Diceros bicornis minor: one gene and its partner. The protein of the gene in region 2 interacts with the protein of the main gene of each other region in a biochemical or structural test. Links are inferred from orthologs where the notes say so. Each region holds a gene or a part of one and is shown on either strand. Other genes may lie near its edges. The genes, in order: FMR1 and NUFIP2.

Region 1 (7,383 bases), on a different chromosome or scaffold from region 2:
GAGATTCCACTACACACCTGTTAGACTGGTCAAAATTCAAAACACTGATAACACCAAACGCATGTGAGGATGTGGAGTAACAGGAACACTCATTCATTGCTGGTGGGAACGCAAAACGGTACAGCCACTTTGGAAGACAGTTGCAGCTTCTTACAAAGCCAAATATAGTCACTATATGACCCAGCAATCTCACTCCTAGGTATTTACCCAAATGAGTTGAACGCTTATGTCCACACAAACCTGCAAACGAATATTTACAGCAGCTTTATTTATAATCGACAAAAACTGGAAGCAACCAAAATGTCCTTCAGTAGGTGAATGGATAAATAAATTGTGGTACATCCACACAATATAACAGAATAGACAACAGAATATTATTCAGCGCTAAAAATAAATGAGCTATCAAGCCATGAAAAGACATGGAGGAACCTTAAATGCATATTGCTAAGTGAAAGAAGTCAATCTGAAAAGGCTACATACTGTATAACTCCAACTATATGACACTCTGGAAAAGGAAAATCTATGGAGACAGTAAAAACATCAGTAGTTACCAAGGGTTAGGAGGTTGAGCTGATGAATAAAGAGGTGGAGCACAGGGGATTTTTAGAGTGGTGGAACTATTCTACATGATACTCTAATGGTGGATGCATGATATTACGCATTTGTCAAAATGCATACACAAAGAGTGAACCTTAATGTGAACTATGAACTTTAGTTAATAATAAGGTATCAATATTGGCTCATCAACGAAAGCAAATATACCCCAGTAATGTAAGATGTTAATAATAGAGGAAACTGGGAGGGAGGTATCAGGGAACTGATATGGGAACTCGCTACTATCTGCTCAATTTTCCTGTAAATCTAAAACTATCCTAAAACATAAAGACTATTAATTTTTTTTTGTAATATCTACTTCAAAGGGGAAGTCAAAGTGAGGTGAAATTGTCAGAGAAAGTGTCATGAAAGAAGTGAGGTTTTAGCTGGGTCCTAGAGGGTACACAGGATTTCTAGAATTGGAAAGGACAAAGGGCATTTCAGCTGGGATTGAGGCAGGAAAAAGACTTAAAGGGCTCAAATTGCAAAGGAGCAGGAAGCAACACAGAATAAATCGATGCAAAGACAAGAGGCAGCAATTTAATGGAAGCGAAGGGCCAAGGCAAGGCTAGAAGTGCTGAAGCATCATTCCAATATCAGGTAAATATAGGCCATGGGAGCAGACTTGACCCAAGCTGGGTCCTCAACACATTCATTCATTCAATAAATATTTAGTAAGCACCTGCTGTGTTCTAAACATTGTGGTAGGCACTGGGGACGTACAGGTAATAAAAGAAACAAAAAAACCTCTGTTCCCACTGAACTTACATTCTAGGGAGAGGAGACAGACAGAACCTGACTGGTATTTTCAAGAAGTAGCAAAGAAGCCAGTATGGCTGGAATGGAGTGAAGCAGGGAGGTAAAAGGTGAGATAGAGGAGATAACAGAGGCGAATGTGGGTAGGACAGTGAGGCCAGAATAAATAAGGACTTTGGCTTTTACCCGGAGGCATTTAGGGAACAATTGGAGGGTTCTGAGTGGAGAGTGACTTGACTGACACCTGAATAGGGTCACTCTCTCTTCTGTGTTGAGACTAGACAGAGGATAAGAGTGGCTGCAGGGAGACCAGCGAAGTTGTTGCAATAATCCAGGTGAGAGAGAATAGGGGCTTGGACCATGGTTTTAGCAGTGCAAGCGGTGAGAAATACATTATGGTCTCCGAAAGAATTTGCTGATGGATTAGATGTGTGCAAGAAAGAGAGGGTCAAAATGACTCAGTTTTAGGCTTGAGCAACTAACTCTGTGCCAGGGACACAAAGATAAATAAGACATCTTTCCTGCCTGGAAGGAACTCAAAGTCCAGTGAGGGAAACAGAAATATAAATAAGTGATTCTAGTACATTAAGCATCATAGTAGAGGTATTTAACATTTACTGAGTCCCTGCTATATGCCAAGCAGTGTGGTGAGGAAGCAGGAGGTATGTAGAAGGTTCTATAAGAGCACAAAAGAAATTCTTGCTAAGGTTCGTAAAGACATTCACAAGGGTTTTCACCACAGTGTGACAACAGGGAATTGGCAGTAACCTAGATGCCCATCAGTGGGGAAATGTATCAGTAAAATCTCTTGAATACTCAGCAGCAGTTAGAAGCCAAAAACTAGGTGTACACACAGTAATGTGGATATAGCTCAAGAACGTAGTGTTGAATGAAAACAGTGCAAAACAGATGTACAGTCCAATACCATCTCTGTAAATGTAAAAGGCATACACAAAACACTGCATGTCTTAAATTGTCAAGGATCTATATCAAACGGATTGCAGGTGTCTAGAAAGAGAATGAGAGTGAGGATTGAGAAAGACGAGGAAAATATTATAAACAATATAAAATAATATAAATAAGAGAAGGGTCTTGCAGGGACTGATGACGGCAATGTATTGAGAATTGAGGAGCAAAGTTAACTCAACTCTCTGCAGCTGAGGTAAAACAACTAGCTAATAGGAATCCAGGTGATGACCCTAAGGAGAAGGGTATTTCTGGGGGCCAGGAAGCATGTGTAGAGACATGAAGGCATGAAAGTGCATCACAGGTTCAGGGAACAGCACCAGTTTAGTGTGGCTTGTACTGGTTGTAAAGAGCTGATAATATTTGAAAGCCCTGGGTAAACTGAACAACATCCCACACGTGGAAGGTATAATCATTCTAACAAATCTGTGCCCTTTTACTACATTGGGGTTAAAGATCACGCTCTGTTCCCATCTAGCATATGGTGAAATTCTCTTTCAGCCCTATTGGGGTCTTTGTATCTTGTGACTACTCCAGAAACCCCGGTCCAATGGGTCATTCCTGTTGACTGTGGCCTCAAGGAAGGTGGCCCTTGATCCACTGCTTTAAAATTGGAGCTCCATCAGCAACAACACTGCTGCTCTGGCTAGGAGTGGGGTGGGAAGGGAACTGGAGGTCCAGGAATGCCTCACGTTCTGGGGCACCTGCCTGGGTCAGTTCACCCCACCTCCACCAACTTAGTGCTGCTAGTTAACTCATACTGGTGGCACTCCAGCTGGAGTCATTTCCCAGCTCTGACTTCTCCTCCCCTACCCCAGACTGGGTCCTGTCCTACTATCATAGCTGTACCTATTCATCACAGCTCTTACTACAGTTGCAACTCCCCATTTACTTTTCTGATAATTTATGTCCATCTATGCATCTAGGTTCCAAGTTCTATGCTGGCTGTCTTTTCTTTCTTTCTCTTTTCTTGCTTTATTTTTCTTTCCCAATGTCTCACTAGCACTTAGCACAGTGCCTGGTATCTGGTAGGGGGTCAATAAGCTTCTCAGTTGGATACAAGCCTTACAAAAGAAACCTAGGTCAAGGTGGATACAAGCACAGTGCAGAAGGAGGAATGAGCAAGAGTTGCAACTTGTTCTCCTGTGAAGAGCAAAGGGGGAGAGCTGCAAGGAAACAGGTGCAGGACCCCTGTAGATAGGTCACCGGAGTACTCTACACATGCCCACCCACGCTTTGGTAGAGGGTGGGCATACAGAAGGAGCAAAATAGTAGGGAAATAAACTGTAAAGGAACTAAAAAGTGTTTAACTTTTTTTTACGTATGTCAAGTAAAAGTATGAAACCGAATCGAAAGGGAAGTATATGGATCAGTGCTGGATCTGAGGAAAGACTAACATTTTCAGAGGTCCTGACACAATCCATTGCCCCTCAGAGGCACAGGACATGTCAAAATACAGCCCAAAATCTCTTGGGGGTGGGGGCGGTGTTACTCTCACCTCCTGCCTCTAAGGGTCACACAAACCTGGGTCACCGTGGTTGCTACTATTACTAGTTCAAAGTCTTCAATCTAATTTTTCACCTTTACTCTTGTCCCCTACTCCACCTCCAGCTCAATCAGATCCTGCCCCACTTCAAAAAAAAAAAAAAAAACCTTCCAACCCAAGCCAGCCAGCCGGACTCGGATAAGTGAATCCACTCGATCGCTACGGGAGGCTCTTTCCCACGCCTCCGATTGCCCCTTTACAGGAACGGGCGCTCTGGCGCTCGCTGGGCAACGCGAAGCAGCGCGACCTCGGCCAGCGCTGCGACCCGTCGCCGCCCTTCCTGCATTCCCGCCCTCTGCCGAGCCCGCGCGCCTTACGTTGGGCCCGGCCTCCACGGCCGGGTCCCAGCAGAGCGCATGCGCGCGCTCCTGGGCCCGCGAGGAGAAAGAGGGCGGAGCCGAGGGGGCTGAGCCCGCGGGGGGAGGGGCGGCGCCGGTCACGTGATGCGGTTTCACTGTTTACACGCGGAACGGCCAGAGCGTTCGGCCTCAGTCAGGCGCTCGGCTCCGTTTCGGTTTCACTTCCGGTGAGGGTCCGCCTCTGAGCGGGCGGTGAGCCGACGGCGAGCGCGGGCGGCGGTGACGGCGGTGCCGCTGCCGGGGGGCGTGCGGCAGCGCGGCGGCGGCGGCGGCGGCGGCGGCGGCGGCTGGGCCTCGAGCGCCCGCAGCCCACCTCTCGGGGGCGGGCTCCCGGCGCGAGCAGGGCCGACGAGAAGATGGAGGAGCTGGTGGTGGAAGTGCGGGGCTCCAATGGCGCTTTCTACAAGGTACTTGGCTCCAAGGCAGGCCCCATCTTCGCCCTTCTTTCCCTCCCTTTTCTTCTTGGCTTCGGCGGGAGGCAGGCCTGGGGCCCTCTTGCCGAGCGCCGCGCCCAGGGGCCAGGGCGCGCTCGGCGGGATGTTGTTTGGGAGGGAAGAGCGGACTTGGGGCCTGTGGGAAGCCCCTCGAGCCCCGCTGCCTCGCCTACGAGAGGCCCCGGCGCCTATAGGAATGAGAAGTGGGCAAGGAGAAGCGGGTGCCCTTTCGGGGGCCGAACCCCGCCAGGGAGAGCTGCGGATGGGCGAGGGCCGGCGGCAGGTACGAGATCCTGGCGAGAAGGGCGGGTATCCGCGCGGAGTGACGGCGACGGCTTATTTCTCTTTTCCTAAATATCCTCTCCAAGTGGGATCCGGGCCTGACGTGTGGGTAGTTGCTGAGGAGCTGGGGGCGCTTCCGTCGAGCCGCCGCCTCCTGCCTTGTAAAGAGGATTTGAGATCTCCTTTGGCTTCTCTTTTCCTGTCCAGCATTGGGACTTCGGAGAGCTCCACTGCTCTGGGCGAGGGGTGTGAAGAAAGAATAGTAAGAAGCTGTAGTCAGTACCAAATCACAATGGCAACTGATTTTTAGTGGCCTCTCTTTGTGGATTTCAGAAGAGATTTTAGATCCAAAAGTTTCAGGAATACCTTGACATATCCGAGTAATGCATTAAAGAAGTTGGTAATCTTGAATATTCGCAGCCTCCCTCCCTGTTATGAATGTGGGCAAAGTCAGGAATACAGATGCTTCAGCATCTAAAAACATTAGCAAATCTGTTGCTTGAGAAAAAAAAAAATTTTAACCCTCCAAAACCCTGAATATATGCCGTGAAACTTCAGGAAATTAACAGAGTATTTTATTACTAGGGAACTTGAAAAAGTGAGTGGAAATAATTGTTTTGTGCTCCAAATACATGACTATGTTTTCTGTGTGTAATGTTGTAGTGGACTGTATTGTTGAGGTTTTAAATAGGCATGTATGGTTTTACTGTGGGTTTTTGTTTTTTAAGTTACACCATTGCAGATCGGCTGATACCTTACATTTTCAAAAGGAGGATTGAAAATATTTTGGTGTATTGATGTACTGGTAGTGCGTCTGTTGGTACGTACTTACTGTAGCTCTAGTAATCTATAAATTCTCCTTTTCTCTTGAATGTCCCTCTATAGCTTCTGTAAGTAACATCCCACTTTACTACAGTGTTTTGGCAATAGAAGGTGGTGGGTATGGAAGCAGGCATGGAAATTAGCTATTGCCATTGTCCAACACAATTCTTCAGTTTATTATGGGATAACTTAAACGTTTCAAATGGGACTCGTTTGGCTATAGGAAAATAAACAGTTGACTTAACTATATGTGTGTTTACTAATTTTATGGAGATATTTGGAGATCGGTATATTTCATAAGTGAGTAAAGTATGTAAACTGTCCCATACTTTTAGCAAAAAGATGAAACCTTTAGCTGTAAAAGGATGAAAAAATAACCCAGCAGTTATGTTCTTAACAGTTTCAGTTGACTCTGCAGTCAGAATTTTGGTTGTATGTATTTCAGTGATGCATAATTTCTGCTGGTTTGTGTAGAATCGTTCTGGTTCCTAGATTGATAGTTTTACTCACTAGATTTGTGGCGCTAACTATAATAAATATGAGCAGAGGCTAATGGTTGAGCAGTATTCTAATAGATCTGTGATATTAGCTCAGATTGGACGCCACTCTTACTGTCTTTAGTGTAGTTTGCTTGCTATGGAGGGCAAGTAGCACATCCTGGTCTTGAAGGATTTATTGTTCTCTTCCAGCAACCTATGATTTGCTTCTGTGATTTTGCTTGCAAACTGATTGGAATATAAGAAATTCCCTCTATCTTTGCTGTTAATCCCGCCTGTTTTTGTTTTTTAACCAAGTTGCTTAATATGGAGGTGAATAAAAAGAGTGGTTGTCCCTTAGTTACTTGAGGGGAAATGTGAAACTTAAACAAATGTATGTAGAGAAATTGCTGTTATGTTTATTTAATTAAGGTTTATTTTTAAGAATATCTCAAATGGTCTGTATTGGTGGAAAAATAGTTTCTGTAATGGAAAAGCCTTAATTTTTTTTATAGGACTCAATATTGCTTTGAGTTATGAAAGTAAAGCAAAAGTAAACTGAGTTGCTTGTCCAGTGGGATGGGCAGAAAAGATGGGAAATAAAGACCAATAAAAAATGAACTATTATGGAGAAATGTTACATTTATGAAAAAATCAGACGCTGGTTCATCAAATTGATAGAAAAACCTTTACAAACTAAACAACTCAAACGACTTCAGTATAATTGAATTCAGACTTTGATTTGCCTAACAGAACCACCATATTACAAGGGACAGTTCTCCATCTTCTGAGTGCATGGTCCAAGTTTGCAATATAAACTGGATAGAGTATATGCTGTGAACATTTGGATTCTTTCTCTATAAAGTAACTCAAAATTACTTTACAAAGTCTGTGTAAAGTAACTCTCAGGATTCAGAATTTACAGAACCATGAAACCTAAACCCTGAGATTGTAACAGCTCATTTCTATTTTTCCCTTTGGTGTTTATTCTTAAACACTTGACAATTAGATTTAGTAGTTGTCAGAGCCACTACTTTTATGCTTAGGTATTTCTTTGACTTAGAAATAAGTCACATGTGCAATTTATAGAGCCTAATGTTATTTAAGACATGAAGACACTTGAATTATACCTCACAAGATCTTTACAA
Region 2 (8,231 bases):
GGCAACCTTGTTGGTAGGCAGTCACCCACAGACACAGTTTCATTTTAAAACTTACGTATTTAAGAAAAATGTAAATACTATAGAATTACTCAGAGAAATCAAAGGACTCCTAGTGCCTTTATTACTAAGGGTTGCCATGTTAAAGCATCTAACCCTACTTCAAATGGACGCAGCAAAACCTGAGTCCTGCTGACTTTTGGATTAGAAACTGAAATTACTGAACACATTTGGGCCTCTCCTGCGACCTCTTCTGGATAAATAAAAACTGTTCCTCTTCATAGGTTTGTGGGTAATGGGTCATAAAAGCCCACCTCAACAAATTACAGATCCATTTCAAAAATCCTCATAAGTTTTCTCAGTAAATGAGCATTATGTATGTTGAAGCAATAGTACTGTGACCAGGCCACACACGAAAAACTGCTCATCCTAAATTGTTTACATTCTCTCAAAATTGCTAAGCCCAGTTTCCCCTATTTACCCCCTTCCAGGACAAGACATACTAATTTGAAGGATGCCACTTTGAATAGCTCAAAGGCTGCTTCTATATGTAGACAGAAGTCCTGCAGGAGCGTGTATAGTCATACAGTACCTGATCAACAAAATACAATTTTCCAATCTGAACAGTAATACTGCCTTATATTCCAAGCAACTATAATAAGGTAAGATTTTCTCACCCTTAAGTTGAAAAAGACCTAACGATAAAAAGATCTAGTGTTGTATAGTTTCTAACAGTTTTTAAACTGCTCCAGACCTTAGGATTAAACACTCAACATATTTACATGTTTATTTCCACCACACACCATCAGTCCCCACCATCCTCCAAAATAGAAAATCTGACATTCTAATTTCAGTCTTCAAGTTACACTAAGTCCGCAACAGAAAAGTAGTTTTTCTCCAGCTCTCAGTAACTGCTTGTAACAAATCTGACATGCTGGGTTTAACATTCATTTTCTTACCATTCCTTCGTTTCTCTTCAATTTATAAAGAACCCTTAGTTTTTAAAATCTGCGTGCTTACAAATTTTTAAGTTCACCTCTTCTCAAATGTTTTCTAAAATGACTTTTACTCTCAATTTAACAATTGTTCAAAACGAGTTTTGGCATCAATATCGGTTTAAAGGAGAAAACACCTTTCAACATGGAAAAAGCCTCATCCGAGGCAAGATGGTAGTGAACTAACCTCATGGATGAGCCACCTCGGTTCACCCCTAACGACAAGAAACAGGGATCAAAAAAAACTCGCCCTCTCCCCCGTCTAATCAAACATTTTTCTAATCTCTCTCCTCAAAAACACTACCCAAGCCCAGAAGGTAAATGTTGGGGAGGTTAGAAGGAGATAGAACAAGTTTTTTTTTTTTGTAAAAATGAGCTGCTAGAAGGAAAGGGCCCAAGTGAAAGCCTGAGAGGCGGAGTCGTGAGCGAACCTGGCAGGAGACGAGGTTCCTGTGGCAGAGAAACTCGTGACCGGGGAGCCCGGTTCCCGCTGGGTACCCCACCCGGCCTTCAGGCACCGCCTCTACGCAAAATGTATGCCCCCCCAGCCCTCCTGCCCCGAGGAGCACGGCGGCCGCCGCCCGCGGCCTCCTTCTCCCTCGGCTCCGCTCCGCTCGGAGGCCGGCTCCCCGCCCTGACCGCCCGCGCCTCCCGCCGCACCCGGGAGCGGGAAACGCGGCCGCCGGCGCGCGGGGCCGGCGCAGGCCGCTCCCCTCGTGGCCGCTTCCCTCCCCCACCTCAACCGCCCCCGCCCCTCACCCCAGGGACCCGCCCGGGGCCGCGCGGCCGCCACCGGGTTACACAACCCGGCCGGCGACGGGGGGAGGGGCAGCCGCGGGCCTGGGGCGGCGGCGCCCCCGCAGTGCGGGGGGGCCAGGCGACAGTCCGAAGGGATCCCCAGCGACCCGGCTCAGCCGCGCCGAGCGCCCCTCGACACCCTTCCCCCTCCGCTCCTCAGTGGCCCGGAGTCGGTGACAGGAATCGGCTTCCAACATGGCGGACAGGAAGCGGCCCCGCGAGGAGGAGAGAACATTCCAGCCGCGCCGGCTCTGGGGGGAGCGGGCCCGGGGCGCACGCCTCGGGAGGAGCCGCGGGGACAAACTGCGGGGTCTGGTGCCGAAAAGGAGCGTCTAGGGGTGGAAATGACCCGAAAGACGAGGGGTCCCAACCGCCCCCCCCCGACGGGGAACCCCAAGGCCACAGGTGGGCTTGGGGCGGCGAGTGAGAGAGGACACTTCCTCAACTCTGCCCACCTACCCTCTCCTCGCCGCCTGCAAAAGGGTCTCGCGACACTACCCGAGTCGGGATTCGCTAGGCCTTCCTGAGTTACACCCAAAGGATTTCTTTGGGGGGGCGCTGGGTTCACCCCAACTCAGGGCCCCCAAATTAAGGTCCTTCCAGGGCCGCAGGAAGGTGAACGGGAAAGGAATAGTAAGGCTAGACTTCCAAGGCCGACCCTCCGGGTCTCCCTCCAGCCCGGGCGGGGGCCGGGAAGGTCACACTGGCCTGGTTGGGCCTCTCCCATGCTGAGGGGAAGGAGAGGGTGCTGCAAGCCCCGCGGCTCAGCCCGAGGTTTGGGAAAATGAAAGGGGGCTTCCCCAGACCCGCAGGACACACACACGCACACGCGCACCCCGAACCCGTTCGCGCTTTCCTGATCCAGCCCCACCCCCATCTCCCCTACCCGCCACCCCCCATTCCCCTTCCCCCATTCGTCCTCCCTCCCAGACCTGTTTTCTTCTTCGGCGTTTCCTGGTGCTGCTGGAGGGCGTGTTTCTGCTCATGTTTCAGCGGCTTTGGCTGGGCCTTGGGGCTGCCCTCGGCTCCATGCTGCAGGTATTGGTGAGGCTGCTGGTGATGGTGGTGGTGATGGTGGTTGTGGCTGTGGTTGTAGAAATAATAATGGTGGTGGTGGTGCGGCGGCTGCTGCTGCTGCTGGGGATGATGGTGCGGATGGTGGTGGCTGTGATGGTGCTGAGACTGTGGCTGGCCGGGCTTCTCCTCCATTGAAAGCGGCTGGGACTCCCTGGCTGAGGCTGCGGGCTGCTGCACCGTCAGGATCTGAGACTGCTTCTCAGGGCTCGCTCAGTATATCTGACCGCGTCTCGCCAGCGCACTGGTTAACCCAGCGATTCGGCGAGATTGGCAGCCGCACTCCAGCAATCAGGAGCCACGCTGCGCCGCAGGCCCCGCCCCTAGCCCAAATCCTCTTTCCTTCCCCTTCGCCACTGCCTTCTGGCCAACGCCGCTTACCCTATGCAACCTCACAGGGCCGGGCCTTCAACGTCAGCACTATGGCTCTCTCTTCTGTCGCTTTTTCTCCTTCACCACGCAGTCTGCGAACCGCACTTTCTACACTCCTCGCCGGCAAGCAAGCTCATGTCGAGTGTAGCAGATTCCACTGGCGATTCCACTGGCTCTGGGAGCCATCTGTTGGTTTTGCACCTCCTAGAATCTGTTGGCTTTTTTTTTCTTTTAATCCTTTTCCGGGTAACCAGAGGGGAAGCTCAATTCCCTTAACCCTGAGACCACTAAAGGGGCAATACAAAAAGAGGAAATAAATACATTTTTAAGAATACAAGAGCTTCGCAATCCAGTAGATCATTTTGTATTCTGGATTCATTTTGCTTTGTATTCATATGCTAATCTCTTCCTTTCCACGAAGGGATTATAGGGTTCCACAATGGGGTATCTGTGTAATTTTCTAAAAGGGCACAAAGGGTTTAAATCATTGTTTCTTTGTAGTTGGAGGCAAGGGAGAGCGGGAGGAATGAAAATCTAAAATCTACACTGAAGATTTTTTTTTTTTTTGACTCTGCAGGTGAGGTCAACTGTGAAACCGAGATAGGTTTTAGAATATGAAGAGATTCAAAAGCAAAAGAAGAGGGAAAAGCACACTTTAAAAGTTATTAAGTTTGTAAAAAATTGTTTGCATTTGTGGGAAATGTTGGAATTTAAAGAAGTACTTTGTTGCATTTCGTAGTATTGATTTAACTTATCCTGCAAAATCACATCACAGCCTGATTTTTAAAAGCAAACATTACCGCCGGCGTTCGGATCCCCGGCGCGCACCGCACCGCTTCTCTGGCCATGCTGAGGCCGTGTCCCACATACAGCAACTAGAAGGATGTGCAGCTATGACATACAACTATCTACTGGGGCTTTGGGGGAAAAAATAAATAAATAAATTAAAAATTAAAAAAAAGCAAACATTAGTCAGGATAGTGGTTACTCAGAAAGGAAGAAAAGGGTTAGTGCTGGGGAGGGGTACAAATAATAGGGTGACTATACATATATTTGCTTTATAATTATTTCTTAAACTGAATATGTATGTATGTGTAACAGTTTTCTCAGTATATGTATTATTGGGGGGATTTTTTTTAATTTACCATAAAACATAAAATTTACTATTTTCACCATTTTTAAGTACACAGTTCAGTGGCAGTAAGTACACTCACATTGTTGTGCAACCATTATCACTGTCCATTTCCAGAACTTTTTCATCATCCCAAACTGAACCCCTGTACCCATTAAACAATAACTCCCCTTTCCTTACTCCCTTCGTCCCCTGGTAACCACTATTTATTTCTCTCTCTCTATGATACCTCATATAAGTGGAATCACACAATATTTGTGCTTTTGTGTCTGACATTTCATTTAGCATAATGTCTTTGAGGTTCATCCATGTTGTGGTATGTATCAGAATTTCCTTCCTTTTTAAGGCTGAATAATATTCCATTGTATGTATATGCCACATTTTGTTTATCCATTCATTCAGCAATGGATATATGGGTTGTTTCCTCAACGTATGTCATATTTTACAATTTTTAAAATGTGCCTTGAATTCCTACAACAGGACAATGTTAAAGGAACAAAGAAAAGCTTAAAAGGAAAAGTTTCTGATCTGAAATTAATAAATATCAACACAAAAGCGTAATTAAAAAGTAAAAGCCCTTTTCTGACAGCAAATGTCACTGAATCCAGACAACCATGACCAGATCTTGACTTATTCTTTATAGTGAGGGTTTGTATTGCCTTGCTAAATTTTAAAGGAAGACCTCTTCAGGTGGGGGGAAGTATATTTACCCAATTTTGAGAGCTAAAACCTCAATAATAACATATTGTGACAAATAAGTCTTTGCCATTGAATAGTATTCCACCACTTACCCATCTATTAAAGAAGAAATAGGGGCTGGCCCCGTGGCTTAGCGGTTAAGTGCGTGCGCTCTGCTACTGGCGGCCCAGGGTTCGGACCCCGGGCGTGCACCAACACACCGCTTCTCTGGCCATGCTGAGGCCGCATCTCACATACAGCAACTAGCAGGATGTGCAACTATGACATACAACTATCTACTGGGGCTTTGGGGGCAAAAAAAAAGGAGGAGGATTGGCAATAGATGTTAGCTCAGAGCCGGTCTTCCTCAGCAAAAAGAGGAGGATTAGCATGGATGTTAGCTCAGGGCTGATCTTCCTCACAAAAAAAAAAAAGAAGAAGAAGAAATAAAAGTGTATATAGAATTTAGGGTTAGTTGATAGAGCTTTATGTTCTTTTGCTGACTTAGACATTTAGTTGGAAGGCAAAAATTCCTGAGTTCTAACTTCTCTTTCTACATTTTCTACATTCTAGTTGCAGGCAAACCAAAAGCACTCACTCTGAGTTGCTGACTTATCACACCTTAGCCTGCTTTAGTTTCTTCACATACGGTTGTATGAAGTTTAGGAAACTAAGCCTTGCTCTCAGATGCTCTACTTACTATGAATGTTGCTTTAGTAGTATGTAGGAGTACAGAGAAAGGCTTGTGATATAATGTAAGAAAAATGCAGAATATCAAATTCCTTGTACACTAGGATCATAACCTTGTAAAAACATGAATATTTTAATAAGTATGGAAATACAACAGTAGAATGTGTACCTTTTCTTTCACCTGATTTTTCTAAGTTTTACGTAAAATATATTTGATATTTGTCATGTATTTGAAAATAATAATGCCATAATATCAAACCTCTATGAAAAGAGAATGATTGCATCTACTTATTTTAAGCATATTTTTAAAAAATGGAATCTGCATTTAGGAAAAAAACAACAAGGAAATATAGCATAAGTCTGGTGAACTTATGGGTGCCTTGTTTTTTCTTTTCTCTATTTTCCAAATATTCTGTTATGTATTTATTACTTTTCATAACAACATTATTTTTAAAAATTAAAATCATAAAAAATTGAGTCTGCACAATCCTTTGAAATTCATTTTACACCATATTTTACCTACAGTCAATGTGAGAAATTATAATGGAGAGGCAGGAGGTTCCCAATATATGATAGGTTAATGTTTTATCTATGGCTGTAATCATAATAGCTAATATTTATTGAGCATTTACTACATACTGTGTGTCAGGAACTGTACCAAGTATTTCATCTTTGTTTTCATTTGTAATTCTTTGAGATATATAAGCCCATTCTACAGATGAGGAATTTGAGGGCTGAGGAAGTTAAGAGACTTGTTTATAATTTAAAAGCCACCAAGTTTATAGTGGGGCCTGAAATAGATTCCAGGTTGGCTGGATAGAAAGAATTTCTAACACTTTCAAAGTGTGATATACATTTCTCAAATTTTACTAAACCTCTAAAAAACATTCAAGCTATATCATAACCACCATGAAGATGGTATCTACCATAACCACCATGAAGATGGTATCTGGTTATTAACAGAGGCAGATGTACTGTGAAGCTAAAGAAGATTCAGGGCCCCTCACTGCACAGGCTCATTCAAGGCCCCAGAGGGACCCTAGAATTGGTCTTTTGAAAGAGCTAGATATTTTTTCATTATTTTGTAAAATTTTAAAAAGTAATATATTTTTGTATTTTTTTCCTTGATGAGGGCCCCCCAAAACCTGGATTCACCCCTGTTAATAGTCATTTGGGAAGCTGACTCAGAAGTGTTGTAATTTCAATAGGTACTTTAAAAGGTTAGTCATATTTTATAACAACATGGGAAAATGTTGACACTGCAACACAAGTACAAAAAGCAAAATAACATATGTATACATTATGATTGCGTATAAAATATGAATTAAAAGACTGTGAGGGAACTTGAAAAATGAAAGTAATAAAATCTTTCTATTCATTGTTCATTCACAAATATTTATTAGGCACTTTTTTTTTATGTACCAGGTATTATGCTTTTTGTTATTTCGAGGTTTTTTAAATCCATTTCTCTTATTGATACAGTTTTGGGACTCGGTTAAATATATTTGCAAGTCTGTCTTAATTATCAAATGAAAGTCACTTTGGGCCAGCCCCGTGGCTTAGCGGTTAAGTGCACGCACTCCGCTACTGGCGGCCCGGGTTCGCATCCCAGGCGCGCACCTACGCACCGCTTCTCCGGCCATGCTGAGGCCGCGTCCCACATACAGCAACTAGAAGGATGTGCAACTATGACATACAACCATCTACTGGGGCTTTGGGGGAAAAAGAAAAAAAGGAGGAGGATTGGCAGTGGATGTTAGCTCAGAGCTGGTCTTCCTCAGCAAAAAGAGGATGATTAGCATGGATGTTAGCTCAGGGCTGATCTCCCTCAAAAAAAAAAAAAAATGAAAGTCACTTTTCACACGCCTTTAATCTTATACTTTGTGTGCTATGACAACTTAAAAGATACAGAAATACTTAATTCTCCCGGCTTCAATTTTCTCCTCTCTACAATATAGAGAATGGGCAAAGTAGCCTCCAAATTTCTTCCCACTCTAACATTCCATGATCATATCTCTGCTTTTTCTCCCTGGACTACCCCTTTATTTTATTATAATAAAACTATACAGCAGCAGGAAATTTAGCTGATAAAAATCTAGTATTTCAACTGTAACAATTGACTATAACTTTACAGAAATTATCATCAGAAACAGTATTATGTAGTTTTATATAAATGGAAATCGGCTCTCTGATGATAGTTCCAGTTTCAAAATGAGGCAAATCACTGGTAACATCCACTGTTTTATTTCAGCAGGGAAAGAATTTTATTCATGTATATTTCCTTTAGATCTTAATATTTTTGCCTAGAGACACTAACTTCAAAAAACTTTCAAAGGAGTTGAACAGAAGTATGGGTAAATTAAGTTGGTCTTTTAATAAGTGGAATATGACAACTTTTCTAAATATGAAAGTTTTTTAAATTGACATTTTGCTTTTATGAAAAGTATTATGGGAAAAAGTTTGAGGGAGAAACTAGCAGAGTGGTATGAGTATAA

What was found.
Region 1: the proteins of NUFIP2 (region 2) and FMR1 form a complex in vitro, tested with the Homo sapiens proteins (2 studies listed by BioGRID and IntAct, with this or other methods). The link is inferred for Diceros bicornis minor from reciprocal best matches to the Homo sapiens genes NUFIP2 and FMR1.

What each region holds. Positions count from the first base shown.
Region 1 is NC_080781.1:132,463,340-132,470,722, forward strand, and holds the start of FMR1 (fragile X messenger ribonucleoprotein 1), read left to right. Parts: upstream 1-4,344; 5' UTR 4,345-4,577; coding exon 4,578-4,628; intron 4,629-7,383.
Region 2 is NC_080757.1:18,335,811-18,344,041, reverse strand, and holds the start of NUFIP2 (FMR1-interacting protein NUFIP2), read right to left. Parts: upstream 3,066-8,231; 5' UTR 3,000-3,065; coding exon 2,723-2,999; intron 1-2,722. UniProt on the Homo sapiens protein: Binds RNA.